2 linked regions of the Lepisosteus oculatus genome follow. The protein of the gene in region 1 binds, or shares a complex with, the protein of each later gene. Links are inferred from orthologs where the notes say so. Each region holds a gene or a part of one and is shown in the gene's direction. Other genes may lie near its edges.

The links. Proteins that work in one complex are often made in the same cells at the same time.
Region 2: the proteins of voltage-dependent L-type calcium channel subunit alpha-1S (region 1) and SH3 and cysteine-rich domain-containing protein 2 are in contact, whole or in part, in a crystal structure (PDB 6B27), measured with the Homo sapiens proteins. The link is inferred for Lepisosteus oculatus from reciprocal best matches to the Homo sapiens genes CACNA1S and STAC2. Residues at the interface, in NP_000060.2 of Homo sapiens: Glu749, Pro750, Glu751, Ile752, Pro753, Ser755, Pro756, Arg757, Pro758; in NP_945344.1 of Homo sapiens: Tyr301, Lys302, Phe303, Gln306, Glu307, Asp310, Asn326, Asp328, Trp329, Phe340, Pro342, Asn344, Phe345.

Annotation. Positions count from the first base shown.
Region 1 is NC_090700.1:36,990,424-36,998,337, reverse strand, and holds the start of voltage-dependent L-type calcium channel subunit alpha-1S, read left to right. Parts: upstream 1-4,899; 5' UTR 4,900-5,199; coding exon 5,200-5,396; intron 5,397-7,914. Other genes in the region: achaete-scute homolog 5, read left to right, coding at 254-898. UniProt on the Homo sapiens protein: Pore-forming, alpha-1S subunit of the voltage-gated calcium channel that gives rise to L-type calcium currents in skeletal muscle.
Region 2 is NC_090723.1:5,904,395-5,912,136, forward strand, and holds the start of SH3 and cysteine-rich domain-containing protein 2, read left to right. Parts: upstream 1-4,667; 5' UTR 4,668-5,578; coding exon 5,579-5,668; intron 5,669-7,218; exon of another isoform or gene 7,219-7,742. UniProt on the Homo sapiens protein: Plays a redundant role in promoting the expression of calcium channel CACNA1S at the cell membrane, and thereby contributes to increased channel activity. Slows down the inactivation rate of the calcium channel CACNA1C.

The DNA of each region.
Region 1 (7,914 bases):
GAATGAAGGTCAATTTCACTGATGTGATGTATCTTGCAATGAGGATCCAAATAAACTGCTTTAGGTGTTGGCAGGAGAGCATTTAAACATTCCTTTAGCAGAATAAAATATACATAAAGGAATTTTAGGAAACACTATTAACTTATTAACTGATCTTTTGCACCTTCACTGGGGGTTTCAGTGAGATCAAGACATTCTATGACTGTCTGCCTGCATTTTGCAGCCCCTCATCACCTCTTCTGCCACCACAGAGATGAATGCCAGCTTCTCTCATGCCTTAATGGAGCGCAGACCCGGCATGATGCCAGGGAGCTGTGTGCAATATGGCATAGCGCCCCCTGGTGGTCACTCACACTCAGAGCACCACCACCACGCCCACCACCGCTGCCACCCCCCTGCTGGACCCGGAGACACTCTTGCTCATGTGCCCTTCCTTCTGTACCCGGCCAACATGGACCCCAGCTACTATGAGGCGTCCTACGGGGGTGCCTTGTTCCCCTACGTGCCTTTCCACGGACACTTCGGGGTGTACGACTGCCCCTTCGAGCCCGCCTTCATCCAGAAGCGCAACGAGCGCGAGAGGCAGCGCGTCAAGTGCGTCAATGAGGGCTATGCCAGGCTGAGGGACCACCTGCCCGGCGCCGTGTCCGAGAAGCGGCTGAGCAAGGTGGAGACGCTGCGGGCCGCCATCCGCTACATCAAGTACCTGCAGGATCTGGTGAGCCGGGGGGCCCAGGCGGGCGCCGAAGCAGAGGAGAGGAGCGGCAAGGGCCCCAGAAATGCCACTCCCACCCCGGCCGAGGCAGGCGTCAAGAGGGACTGCAACAGCGACGGGGAATCCCAGAATTCCTCCTCCTCCGACTCTCCGTACTGCGAGTCCGAGGAGTCGCTGAGCTAGAGAGGGCCGGGCCCTGACTGCAGGCTTGAGGCCTGAAGGCGGAGTAGGGGGAGAACAGGCCCGCCTGAAGCTGCTAGAGACGAACCAGCTCTGACTGTGGCGGGATGCAGACCGACAAGCCATAACACGGGCAGAGGGATAAAACTACCACAAATTAATGAGGGTTTCCTAATCCTGTTCCTGGAGTGTCCCTCTCACTCCTGGTTTTTGATCCAACCGATTTCTTAATTAGATAAAGTAGTTGAACATAAATCAATCATCCGCTTGATTTTAACTGTTTTTGATGCCCATCTTGATTTGAGAAATACTCTCCTTTCTGTGTATTATTTCCATGAAATGTGGCAAATGTGATACGTCAACAATTTAGAATTACTGCTCAACCACAGTGGTCTAAATAACTCCTGATAGATGAGCAATTAAAGATATACAGAAACAAGTGGCAATGACACTCTCTCATTGTAACCATTCTTAGCGATGTGTCGACTCTGTTTGAATGCCAGCTGGTCAGGACCTCTACAGGAGGGGCTCATGCTACCTTTTAACCCCCAGCTATGATGCAGGGAGTGGCATGCTCAAGGGGGAAACCTTTGGGCTCATGAGTGGCAGGCTGTTGGTTTGAGTCCCCACATGACACCCTGCTGTTCTAGAGAGGTGAGTGTTGCTGGGGCTGATCCCTGCAACAGACCAGCATCCCTTCTCGGTGGGTGGGTCCTAACTAGTCCATGACGTTGTGGAAACCAGGATGAGCACTGGACCAATGAATGAGCAGCTCTGGTAAGGTCTTTATCCTTGTCAATCGTCTAACTAAAGGTTCAGCACATTGACAACCAAAACAAAAGTCAGGGTACTCTGATTTTAAAAATCCCAATGAGGCTGGCATCATCCACCACACAGAACCAGAAGCTATCAAGTTCTTGAGCATCACAACCCACTCCAAGATCTATGTGAGTCATGGAAGGCACGTCCATTCGATATTTCAATAGATCAGTGTAATCCCGAGGTTCAGACAACATGGACTGTGGACATCACTGGTTTCAAATTTCTTCTCACATTTCAGTTTAATACAGCACCCCAGACAACTGGATTGCAAAAGTCAAGGCTGACTTCAGAGACTTTGTGGGCCACAGGTTTTTTGGTCATTCCATTCATAACAGTCCCTGAGCGATATTGAAAGCTAAAACATTTTAGGAAGCAGAAGTATTTCAACTGTAGTTTTTAACACTGCTCATAGTGTCTTAGGGGTGGAGAGATCATGACTGAAGGTAAGTTTAGGTAAGACATGAAGGGAAAAATTAAATCACACATCTGTCATAAATCTAAAAACCATTTACAGCCTTTCTGTAGTGCTTGATGATGTCTCCAAACTACTTTAATGAACTGCATTGAACCTTTTCCTGCAGACTGTATTTGCTGAGCTGTAAAAAACATGACACTGTGTTCTTATACGTTTCTGAAAAAAAATGTAATTTTACTTGAAATTACCCAATTTAGTTTTCTTAGGAAAGAGTTTTAATTTTTGAGCTAGTTTAAGCTCAGAAACACGTATGTATTATAATGCTATGATGTGACAGTTTGTCTATAAGATGATAGACCGTAAACAGTAATTCAGCTGGAACATTTACAGAACCTGGGACAAAACAGAGACTTCCAGAAAGAAATGTAAAGGTGCTTGCCTTTCCTGGCCTTTACAGACATAGTAAGGCGGAATGTGGATCTATAACTGTTGTTCCCAATCCTGGTCCTGGTGACCATACACATCTCCTGGTTTTCATTCCAGCCCACCCGAATTGGATAATAATTGAAGCCTTAGTTGATATACAGTAATCCAAGTCACAAGTTTCAGATTTTAATTCACTTCCAAATATACCTATAATGGTAAGGTAGAATGGTACCTTAATTCATGGTTGATGTTATTGCTAGTGAAATGGTTTTGGAGACTTTCTGTAAATCAAAGTGCGAATCCCCTTCTCAGCAACTGCCCTTGATGTTTCAAGGTCATCTGTGACTGCAAAACCACTGAGGTCTTTCCTGTTTGACCATCCTTACACAGTTCATACCAAATAGCAGGATTAGTGTTGTGTGTGTTTGTGATCATCTTTCAATCTTGATCTTATTGCCATGTTGACAGCACTGTACCACTAGAGCCGTGTGTCAAAGTTTGTTCTTTAAATGACAGTTTGTAACCAGTTTTACTGATACTGCTTTGCACTTTATCCTAGACTCTGTGTAGCACCCTTCAACTTGTAAGAGGCATTAGACCCTAGCCCAACAATGATGTATGATGGAAAACTTTCTAATAAAAAGTAAAAATGAAAACTGTGTGTTTGTGCTTCAAGGAACATTTATTTTATTTTTTTTTTCAAAGAGATGCTTCACCATGATTATAGTTCTTTTAAATATGACTACCATCTTGATATACTGTGTTTAGCTCTTTGATTACTACAGCAATTAATGCATTTTTTGCTACTAATGCATAAGTACATACATATAGTTCTACTGGACACACACTGTTTTTGATCTGTCAGATTTACACAACCTAATTATGTGATGCACAGTTATAAACTCAATCCCAGTTCTGGAGGGAAACTGTTTCTGCAATTTAACACCTTTCCCCAGTTTTTCCTGCTGCTGGACTGCATCTCTCCAGTACTGGAGCAATGAACTTTTGTATAGGCCGTACCTGATTAGTTTAACACTTTTCAAAGATCTTCAGCCACTGGTGGTTTTAGGAATCCTAAGAATGTAGCACTCAGAAACTAGAGCTGTCCCTCTCTAGTGCAGTATCTCTAGTACTGCCTCACTTGCACATCCCTGTGAACCACTAGGTGGAGCCATTGCACAGTCAGAGACTCTTCACCTGCACATTCCACCTGGACCATAAGGACTGTAAGTGAAGTCAGTACCCTGATGTTTCATAAACTGCAAATTTATTTTTTTATATTACCGATGTTAAATGACTGTTCTGCTTATATGAATTTATATAAGCATTCCATTGCACTTAAAAGCATTTCATGCATTTGACAAATAAACTGAACTCTGATTTATGCAACATTTATACTTTCCGAAATAAGACTGAAATAGCATAATACATTGTTAGTTACAGAATGCAACACTGCAGGGAATACCAGCAACACAAGCGTGACCACATGAATTAGTGTTATCATCATTAAGAAATCTGTAGTTTGTTTGGGCTCTGGTTATTATCAGATGGCAGCCAGGCAGTGTCATTAGAAAACTTCTGGTTGAGGCCTCACAGGAGCTCTCAGTGTTGTAGGTTTAATAAATGCATACCTCTATCATTGTTAAAGATTAAAAAATAATTACCGGATTCTATATTGAAGATTAATTTTGTCTAGTTTTGTTGGAACACTTCATCACAAAACCAAGGTTTAAATGACCAACTTTGAAAAAGCTGTAAACTGGATTAGCTGATTTGGGAGTCTTGAAATGGAGCACACGATTTTGGCAAATTTGCAGAACCGTATATTAGCACAGCAGTTTGTTGTGCTCAGGAGGAGTAAATGTTTAAATAAAGCTCCTGAAACTCGCTTCCACGCTTCGTCGCTTCTCGGTGTGCCACCTAAAACTCCCTGCCACCCCACTCTGCTGTCTCGCTAACAGGCCTGTTATAAACACTCCCACCATCTGCACTGTGTCACTGAAGACAGGCATCGAAACGTGCCGTCCCCTCCGCTGCTGCTGTTTAACAGCTCTCAGCATGCCTCCCCTTCTCCTTTCCCCCAGCTCCACTTCCTCCCCCCTCGCCCTCCCGGCTCTGCTCCGAGAGCTCGGAGCTACAAGTGGGATGAGCCGACGACAGCTGCACTTCTTTTTCCTACTTTTCTGCTGCCTCAGGGCCCACAGGCTATTCGGCGGCCCCTGCGCCTCTCTGCCTCCCTGCTCTGCTTACGCTGCCCCATCGCCACCCCACCCACCCCCCACTGCCGAGACATCGCTCACAGTCTATATTTAAACCATGCTGGCCCGGCTCAGGCCGCAGAGGCAACTGCTCCTCCTGCTGCTTTCTGCCTGGTGTAGTTTTACCCTCTGAGAAACCCAGCTCAGCAGAAAGGCACTCCACTCTCCGCTGAGCGAGAGAGAGTGAGAGGGAGAGCAGGCGGAGGCGAGGGGGGGTGTGTGTGTGAGTGTGTGCCTGCTGGTCCCGGGAAGGAAGGAGAAAAATAAAGGAGTGAGGGGGAACAGGCGAACCCGGGCTTACCAGGATTACAGCGGGAAGGATTACTGGGTCCTCGCCTCACACACCGTCACCGTCGGGACACGGCTCTTGGTCTGCCCCCAGGATGGCTACGGCGGAGTCCAACGCGGTGGGACCTGCCGCCTCCATCATCATGGACAGCGAGACCCTGAGGAGAAAGCAGAAGGAGAAACTGAAGAAACTTCAAGCCACCGGCGGCAACCCCCGGCCCCCGCGCTCGCTGTGCTGCCTGACCCTGAAGAACCCCTTCCGCAAAGCCTGCATCAGCATCGTGGAGTGGAAGTATCCTTCGGGGCTCGAGCTCGGCGAGGCGCGTGGACGGCCAGCTCGGGGGCCAGCTGAGCAAAAGAGAGGCCAGCGGCTAAGAGCATGGCCAGCCCTCAAACCGGAATGAAAAGTCAGTAAGTCACTCTGAGGGCAGGAAGCTACAGATTGTTGGTAGTTGGGACTGCTGTCTTTGTCATGTCTTCATTTATGCAACGGGAAACTTTGTGTTTGGCTAGTCAAAGAAAGCAGGGCTGGCTCTCTCTAGCTGTGTTTATGAGGAGCCCTACACCCTTGGATTTAAAAGGGTTGATCAGTTTCTTCACATGGTCATGAGTTGTTTATATGGCGTTGCGCAGATTCAACTTCCCAATAATCTTACAGCAAAGGGCTTTTGTATTAAAGAGAAAAAATAACATGAGACAACGCTGGCTTTTGAATAGTTCATAGTCTATACCTGTATTCCAAGTGCAGTTCATAGACAATTGTTCATATTTTTCCATCTTTAAATGGCTGGATTTGGAACTGTGACCAAAAGAAAGATTCTTCTGTTAAGTAGCTTTTTCCGAAATTTGGTTTGGAAAGTTCGCGATTAATCATGGGACAGGACACCGGCGTTCTCAGTGGAGTTGCTTCTCATTTCTAGATGCAGAGATATTTCTGGATACATTACGACCTACAAGTGTGAGCAGTTTAAAACCAGTCAGGCACAAGGATTATTCATTTGTTAGCACAGGCTTAAGAAAGCAGTTTTGGTTCTGAGAGGTTTTCAGTTTGGCAGTGGGACATGTTTACTGCTTCAAGAGTCTTATGTTAGCGAAGGCGCATAATGTTCCTAAAATGTGAATCGAGACTTGAGACCTTTCTTCTTGTTGGTAAAGATGAAAATTCTAGTTCTTACTCCTGGGTTCACTGATTAATGTCAAAACTTAAAAAAAAAACAATTATATTCACCCTGGGTCAAAGGTTAGGTTAACCCATAGGCACTTCCAGAAACTGAATAATTTTCTAGAAACATCAGAGGAGAGAGCCTTTTGAAAACAGCATTTTTCCAAGATGGGATAATGCGCTTGGCAGCTAGTCAAGGAGCCAAATACGGGAGAAACGTGCTCCCAATGATCGAAGCTGATGATAGAAATTTAGGTGTTTTTTTAATGCATATATATTTAAACGACACAATGATATTCTGGGGCACTGCAGCTGTTGGCTCGCGTCACAGGCTAAAAACAGACACCACTCTCTGCTGGCAGGGGGAATTTTAATTCCAGCACCCCCTTCTGGCTGAAAGGGAGACCAGTTGAGCGGCCCCTGTAGTATGAAAACACTGACACCTGTAGTGGTCCAAATGACTGAGTAACTTGGGAGAGGGCCAAGGTTCCACTACCAAAGCCTTGCAGCGGCAAGGTGTCTTGAACTGTAAATCAGGCGTGATCAAGGTGTCGGCCTCAAAGTGATTCATGGAGCTCCTGCATCCTGCGCATTTGTGCATGTCAGGATGCCTTCAATAGACATCAATTTGGATGGCACAGTTTCACAAAGCATCGTTCCCTATAGTTTACATTGAAATGAAAGTTCAAGACCTTCTGAGTTTGCTTAAGAAAAGCCCCTCTTGTGGCACCGCAGAGATTCGATAGTCATGCCACAAGACAACGACCCATCTCCCCATTACATAATGACTGAAATAGTAGAAATGTCTAAACATCCACCAACAAGAGAACATAAGAAAAGTTACAAATGACGGTTAATCAATTCCACACAATTGACTTAAGAGGTATTGAGTCATAGTCCCACAGACGACAGCACTGCACCAAAGTCAAACACCTTGCAATACAACACAGTAAGCTTGAAGCACCACAGTGATGTGATGGTAAAACCTGCTGCCTCACAGATCTTTGTTCTTTGTTCTTTGTTGGCTTCATTGTTGCCTGGGGGGCTTTTTGTGTGGAGTTCATATGTTCCATCCATGTCCACACAGGTTTTCTCCCACAATCCAAAGCCATGATATTGAGGTTACTATCTCTAACTTTCTCACTTGCTCACATGTGTGTGAGCCTTGCCCCTTGTACCTGCCCTCAGCACAAAGCAGTTACTCATAATGGATGGATAAACTATGTGTCTCAATGCTTAAACTTGTAATGCTATTTAACACTTAACCTCAATGTCTTTAGTAAGTGTTAAGATGTTCTAGAGCTGGGGTCTCAAACTCAATACCTGGAGAGTCTAGTGTCTTCTGGATTTTGTCCCACCCATGTTCTCGGTTACATAATTGGTGTAATTGTTGTATTAGCTACAAAAATGTAATGCTTTTCAACCAGGGTAGGAAGTGTTTTATAAGTAACCTTTAAGCAAAGTGATTGGAGAATTGATAGCTTGCGTAATCAACTGTAAAACACTCTATGAAAAATTTGTATAGGTCCAATTTAGAAATAATTAGGTTAATTGTTTGAATGACTAATTAGATTGGAAAAATCAGAGACCTGAGTTCTAGAGAATCGTCTAGTTTAAGGCAAAAGGCAAACATTTATGTCAGGACACA
Region 2 (7,742 bases), on another chromosome or scaffold:
ACTGCAAAACTGAAATTCTGTTTGTCCTACACAGGAGTCTCAGAACACCATCCTCACATCATCTCCCTCAGTCAGACTCACAAGGTGGAGATCAGTCCTGCATCTTCATCCGAAAGGAAGAACGGCCTGGAATTCACGGATGCACTCATGGATATAATCTCGGCAAGCACGCAAATCCTCGCACAAGCCTTTCACTCGCTCACACACAGATGCACATAACTGTCTCTCTCACATACACTCCTGCAGTATTTTCTACACTTTTAGATTTAGATGAAAAGCCATTTGGTTTATTGAAACCCCAGTTTTAATGGTGGGTCACCCCCACTTTGTCCGTTCATCAGGAGTTACTATCTTTGCATGCACACAGAGGAAATGGAACAGCGAATCCCAGGAAGACTATCTTACCGGTAAAATCACTTCAAAGTGATGAATAAAAAATGAATCCATCTGACTGAATAGCAAACTAAAGTGCTCTATTTAAAACTCATTCTTTTCCTTTGTCTTCTCTTTTCCCGTCTCCTTTTTACAACATCAAGGATGAGTCCTGCACCTCCATCCACTCATTTATTCCATCCACTTCAGGGCCGTTGGAGAGCCAGAGCTGGCAAGCAACAGGCACAGGGCAGGACACACACAGATTCACACTCACACCAGGCCCAATTACCCCAAAATGCCAGTTAAGCTGCCAGTATGTTTTTGGACTGTGTGACATGAATATGGAGAAAACATACAAACTCCACCCAGACAGCACCCCAGGTCTGGAACTGGACCCAGGGACCCAGCCCTGTGAGGCAGCAGTGCTAACTCCATCTGATCCTATGTGCTCCCAGAACAGGCTCTGGGTTGCTGCTATCCTCATCAGCAGTCTCCAGATAATGGCAGGATGGATGATATTTGGTTTATTAGCTGAGTAAGTAAGCTCAGTAAAATGTCCCTTGAAAGAAGGATGCATTAAATGTAATAGACAGCAAGCATAACAACACAGTCAGTGATAATTGATGAATGCAATTTATGCTGACATTCATGTATAAATAGCAACACAGCGCTCTTTGATTTGAATACAAGGGACAGCTTCAGCGGTGTTATGAACACGCGCTCCTCTTTCTTCACTCTTATTTGTCTGCTAGCACGCTGGCCCAGTTTTATGCACAATCATTTCGTTTCATCACACTTTGGAGGAGACGGTCGACGGTATGCGTCTCACGTCTGCACCCGAATCAGTGCTGTATCGAGGCGCTCCCCTATTCTTTGCATGCTCATTTGCATGTAAATGTCTCAGTGTTTGCAATGAGCGAAGAGGGTGTGAGCTGGTCTTTGCAGGGGGTTGCAGTACTTCACATTTGCAGAACTCAGGAAGCAGATGAAATGCAGATGTCTGTGTTTTGCTCTTTATTTTTTAGATACTCGATAGTCTTCAAAAAATATGTAATGCACTGTGATGTTTTGCAATTCAGGAGTTTCATATGATTCCTTTACCCAATCCCACACCCCACAAAATGAAGGCGGAGGGTACTTTTAGAGGCATCAACTGCTACCAGCAGCAGAGATGAATATTGTCTTTTACTTTTGTTGCTTATTTTGAAACATGATTCTCAGCAGATCCTTTGAAGCTTGGTATTGCATAAAAGTATGGATGCTTTTATTCTATGTCTCAAGTCATTGTGCAACCCGCGAATACTTGAGATAGAAGAAAACTGGCTAAATTGAGTTTACCTCATAGTACAGGGATGAGCATTCCTGGTGCTGGAGGGCAGGTGTCCATCCCAGCTCCTAAATCAGCTCATTATTAGTTTATCCAGTTTAACTGCTTCTTCCAGTTCATCAGCTGCTTTGAAAAGACCTAGAAATCCTGCAGACAGACTGGCCCTCCAGCACCAGGAGAGCCCACCCCTGATATATTAAGATAGTGTAAGTGAACTTTGTCTCAGGGATGAGTCAACACCTTCATGGACCATCATAGGGAGATATTGGGCTACTCTGGAAAATGTCACCATCATTTGCAGACATTAATAATAATTGCTTACACTTATATAGCGCTTTTCTGGACACTCCACTCAAAGCGCTGTACAGGTAATAAGGATGTGTAGTTTTGGGGTGAAGACATCTGTTTGCAATTTTAGAGAGATTTTTTTTAAATCAGGGTGATGCTTTAGAATTCAATGCACAAGAAAGCACACAATTCAGAATGACCTTGTGTCCATTAAATCCTTCAGCAGCGACACTGTGATCTCTGAAAAGCCCGAGATGAAACAGTGGCAGACGTCACTGCAAAATAGGCATCTGTGTGCATACGTGCACAGACGCAGATCAAGGACTTCTCATTAAAACGCTTCTGTTAAACATTCAGGTGACCTGGAGTGAGCCTTTGCTGTGTGTGTTGGCACGCCGCTGGTTGTGATGGCTTTTCCTCTGTAAATAAACGAGCAGCGCTGGAGGAGAGAGACTGTGGTTGCACAGCGGACTGATAAGGGGCTTCAGAGAAGGGTGTTATGCTAATTTGAGGGGAAGAGGATGATATATTTCAAAGGCTTTGTTGCTGCTTTGCCGGGCTGGCTGTCTAATCCCACGCGTTTCTGTGTGCTGTTGTATCTCGACAGTGCTACACAGAGCACACGCACACACATGACAGGGGCTTTAATTAGAAACTGCGCCATTCCACCAGCCCGTGCTGGAGGAGGCGGCGGTGGTCCTGCATGTCCCCAGGAGACACGCCGTGCGCCCACACCTGGCCACTACCGGCTCTGCCCCAGCCGCCCTGCGAGCGAGCCCTCCGGCACCCCCAGTCCCAGCATACCTGAGAGCCACACAGTGTCCCCCCCTCACGCTGCCCCCCTCCAGAGAGACACACGGAGCCTGGAGTGCTCTAGTTCTTTGAGATATGTGTGTTACCACCACCCCCCTGTACCACAATGCCCCCCCCCTCCGAGAATATGAAAGGCTGGCACCAGCTAAGACAGGAGTTAGTGTTCAAAAATAGCTCTGCTTGGAAGACAGCGAGCGTGGTGGTGAGCAGTATGGCCTCTTTCTGTAATAACCCAGACTGCTTCGCCTTCTCCAGAGCAGTAGACAGCCGCCACACGCTTCCTGTCCGTTCAAGTCTCCTGCTAACATGACTCCCCCGCGGGGGAACGTTCTTACACACAGGCCCGAAGTTTGGTCTTCGGCGGCCCTCGGCACTTTCACTCCGAAACGGGCAAAAAGAAGGGTCAACGCCAATTGAATGACGTCGGCTGACATGACGCACTCCAGACTCTTGTACTGCTACGCCGCGAGGATGGAGCGAGACGAGCGACCATCGCTTCGATACTTCTAGTTTCTAGAACAGCCGCTAGAGAGCGTGTTGTTCTTGACTGGGCGCACCTAGAGTCGACCGCAAAACCTGTTGTTGTCCACTCGTTTTTCGTGGGTCACTAGTGCTTCCCTCCCAGTCCCACGGGAGAAAATGCTGGAATCTCGGGAAGGAGATGGGTGCCCGCTGGAACGTTTTCCCAAAGCACTTTTCCCAAGCTGTTGTACAAATTGAGTTGAATTTTTTCTCTCTGGTTATTTACGGTAATGTCGAGTCACTCCGTTATGCCAGAGTCCGGTCCGCTGCCGTGGAGTGTGCAGGATCGTGGGTATATTCCTCCCACTATCGCGCAGAGAGACGAGAACAGCCCATAGAGGCTGATCAAAGCAGCGCTGTCAAAGACCTCGCCCCTAACCCCCTCCTTGACTGGAGATGCACGGGACCGAATACAACCTGCTGAGGCAACGAGCTTGTATGGAGTGACCGACCGCTGTCTGCACCGCGCCATGCTTAAAACAAAATTGCTAAGAGCGCGTCAAGAGGCTGTCTGGTCGAGCAGTTCAGCGGGGGGTTAGACTAGGAATAAACCTATTACTTGTTCCTGGGCAGTTCAGAAGGCGCCGTTTGCGTGCGCACACCTGTAATTCTCGTTCAATAGTTTCTATAGTTAGCGCGCGACTGAGTCATCGGGCACATTAAAGCGCCCCTCCGCGCGGGGGGGGGGGGGGGGGGGCGTGCTGGCGCGCGAGGCGCGTTGCTAGTAACGCCTGGGGTGCGATCAGATCCTCTCCGGAGGCACGTTTGGAGCTGCTGCTGGGGGTCTTCCTCACGGGAAAGGTGGTGAAGTTCACGCTCGGGTCTAGTAGGGCTGTTTTCATGCTGTAAAGGTGGGCATTAGGAATTATTACTTTGGCAAAGGCCGTTCTGCAGCTCACTGAGAACAAAATGTGATCAAGCCGAAGACGGTTTCTCTCTCTTTTTTTTAATGGGCAAGGTCATTAAATATCACGAGTCTTACATGACGTGCGAGTTTCTCCTAAAGCGGGTTTTCGAGATGAGGGTTGTACGTCGGTGTTCACGCCCCTGAAAACCATTTGATCATTCGCCGATAGGAAATTCATTTCCCATTCTCTGGGATGCAGTCCGCAACACGCGGCAATGCTGCCTGGCTTGATTCTTGCGCTCCTGTGTGTGTAGATCCATTTGGTTAAGGACCCGTTGTCTATCAGCGTTGTCTTACCAGGCCCTTTGACTTTGAAAGTGTAGTATGTTGTTTCTGCAGTTCGTATTGGTGCCAAAATGCATTTAATTTCAATAATGATAATCAACCGTGCGTACGAATGTTTGCACAAACAAGGAAGTCATATTTTTTATTTGTGATTCTCCTATTACTGTCACAATATTCTTTCTAGAACAGAGCACGTCTCCTTTTCTTGGGGCCACCTTAAATGGGTACCAAAACATCTACCTGTGCCCAGAGACACGCCCCGGCGCGGCGACGTCACACACAGCGGCCAATCACCGTGCGGACGGCGGTCGATATTAGCATATCAAAGAGAACCCCGCTCCAATCACAGAGCCGCGGAAGCGTGGTCGGGCATTCTATTAAATCAAACTTGTAGCAAAGGCGCGTGTGAGGCTGCAGATCTGGCGTGCTCCACCAGTACAGCACCTGGGCTAGATTAAGGGCGAACTGCAAAGTCGATAGCGCCACCGAGGCCAGTATATCTGAGAGCGCTGGAATTAAAAGCACTGATCTGACTGAGTCGCAGGACAGGCGCACTTCACTGGGATTCAGACCACTGCGGCTTGGTTTTCTTGTGTTTCTGAAAAAGAGAGTTGCTACCAGTGTTACTATCCTCTGCGGTGTGTACGTTTCAATGCATGGGGGCTACATAACACCAAAGGCAATGCTGACGCGTGTGGCAGTTTGCAAAAAGTGACTGCCGCGCAAGAAACTGAAAAAATAATTGATTTTTAAAAACAATATATATATATACGAGCATCGCTAACCTGAACAGAACGAAATGGTACATTAAGTGAAAGAGACAATACGGTATAAGCCGTAATTCAGTAGTATTGTCATTCCCTGCGAAGAGAATCGTCAATATGCTTTGCGAATAAAAAGGAGGATTTGACCCACTTGCACTCAGCAGGCTCAGCCGGATACCGCTTCCTGACTGACTCGCTCGCGGGCGCGGCACGAGCCGGGCCGCCGGCCAGCCTCCAGCGCGAGCGCGGCGCAGAACCGTCCGGGACGCGAGCAGCGAGAGCCGGGACCCCGGAGCGATGACGGAGAACAACGAGAAGGAGAACGAGCCCCAGAACCGGGATCTCCAGCGCTCCCCCGGCACCGTGTCGGTCCAGCCCGAGTCCAAGGTAAGACCTGCCCCTCCCGCCGCCGCCGCCGCCCCCCAGGGCGAGACGCGGACAGGTTCTGATCACCTGTCGAAGCCCGATAATAGGCCACTGTCGCCAGAAGGCGTATGACACAAGCGACACGACCCCGGTGAGAATGCATGACCCCCCTTGTCTTTATGGTCGTGACACATCCAAGTCATCTTTGTGACCAGCTTTTGTCGGTTGTTTTTTTTTGGTATAGGCTCTGTAAATATGGCGTCCTGTAAAATGACATTTGTCCGATTTGAAACGGGAGAATAAAACTTGATGAGTGGACCTCAGATAGCGGGTTTCTATAATTATTGTTTTAGAAGGGTGTCTTGATAGGAATGTAAATGAGAGATTAACACTTAAACCTGCATCTACGCCTTTGCTGGCGTTCCCCGGATGACATCAGTTGCGGGCTGTTCTGACTGGAGTGGACCTCTCTGGTTCTAACAGTCTGTGAACAGCGCGGGTTTCGAAGCAGCAGAGCGTGCCTCGCGGACTCAGGTGGCCCGGCATACCTGTCACGGTGCTCATGCAATATTGTCTGAGTCCTGTCCATGCAAAAGCCTTTTAAAGTAAAGGTTTTAAAGTCTTTCCACGGGAACTGGAATCCGTCGGCGATACCGTGCCTAGAACATATTAGCAGACAGGTAGAGCGATAATCTTGTCGAAGGAGTGAAGTCGCGGTAACACATTGGCAGGTGAACTGTCGCTGGCGGTGATCCGTGCTGTCAGATCACAGCGGCGAGGAATGAATCTGAAGGCTTCCGAATACTCCCACTGGGATACAGACTATCATGCCTATTTGATTGAGATTCTACTCAAATATGTTTTATTTTATTTTCGCCTTCTCATTTTCTCTTAAATTGCACGCCCGTGGCAGGGTATTAAGAGGCACCGCAGACCTCTAGCGTTATTAAGAGAAACGTGTCTTTTGGAAGTCTGTGTATAAATTCTAGTGGTTTGTGGGCTGGGCTCATTCAGGCGGAACCCGGGGAGTTCAGGTGTGCCCCGTGTCTTTCTCGGGAGTCCTGGTTTGTAAAACACACCGCTGATTCCCCAGTACAGGTCAATGTAGATATTGTAACATGCAACCGAAAATAGTATCAGTCGTCTTTTTCAGACCTGAAGTATTAGACTACTCTGTGGTTGGATAAATATATTTTGACGTTAAATTCCACAGCTACTCAGTCGATTGTCAGTGTATTGGGGTCACGATGTTCTTATACCGAAAGGTACAGTATAACTTCACGAAACGATTCCTTGTTATGGAATAATACTGTTTTCCTCTGTAGCCATGTGCGTCACTGTATAACTGAACTGACTTTCCCAGGTAATGACATTCTGTTCCGTTAAAGCCTGTATCTTCGAAACGTCGCTACACTCAGGAAGCAGTGAGTAATTCTCCTCCAGCGTGGAGAGCTGCCTGTCATTTGAAATAAACGAGCTCGGGCTAGATATTTATACCGTTTCCCTTGACATCTATATTTTAATCCTCACGACACAGGACGTCAGACAGCAGCTCGCTGACGTCAAAGAAAGGTCTCTTCCTTGACGTATGAACTACGCTGGATCTTTGAGCTGCCCCCAGCTCATTGGGAGTGCTGTGACTTCTTTGTTTGAATGAGCGCATAGGAGGGGTCATCGGCTGAATTGACCTCTATGGACCGGGCTGGCAGACCACGAGCAGCACGCGCGCCGGAAGCGATGGGGCCTCGGCACAATCCAAGATTAGTGTGGATGGGGGTCTGTTAAATGACCGCGAATTACTGTGGGGTCTGTGTGATCGCCACGAAACTACAACACCTGGGCGTGCACGCGTGCTCTTCTGTCACCGATTCACTCTGCGCGCCCAGCCTCGTCTCCTGCGCGTCATTGCGCCTGCGGGCGGGGCTGTGTTGTTCATCTGGTAGTGGAGCCAGACAAGGCGCTATATTCCGGGGAACGCAAGCACCTGACACGCTGCTTTTGAACTGCGCAAACCTGCACAGACTGAGCAAAAAAAAAGAACGAGACCGGGGCGCTATATCTCGGGAACGAAAGCGACAACAACACTGCTTTTAAC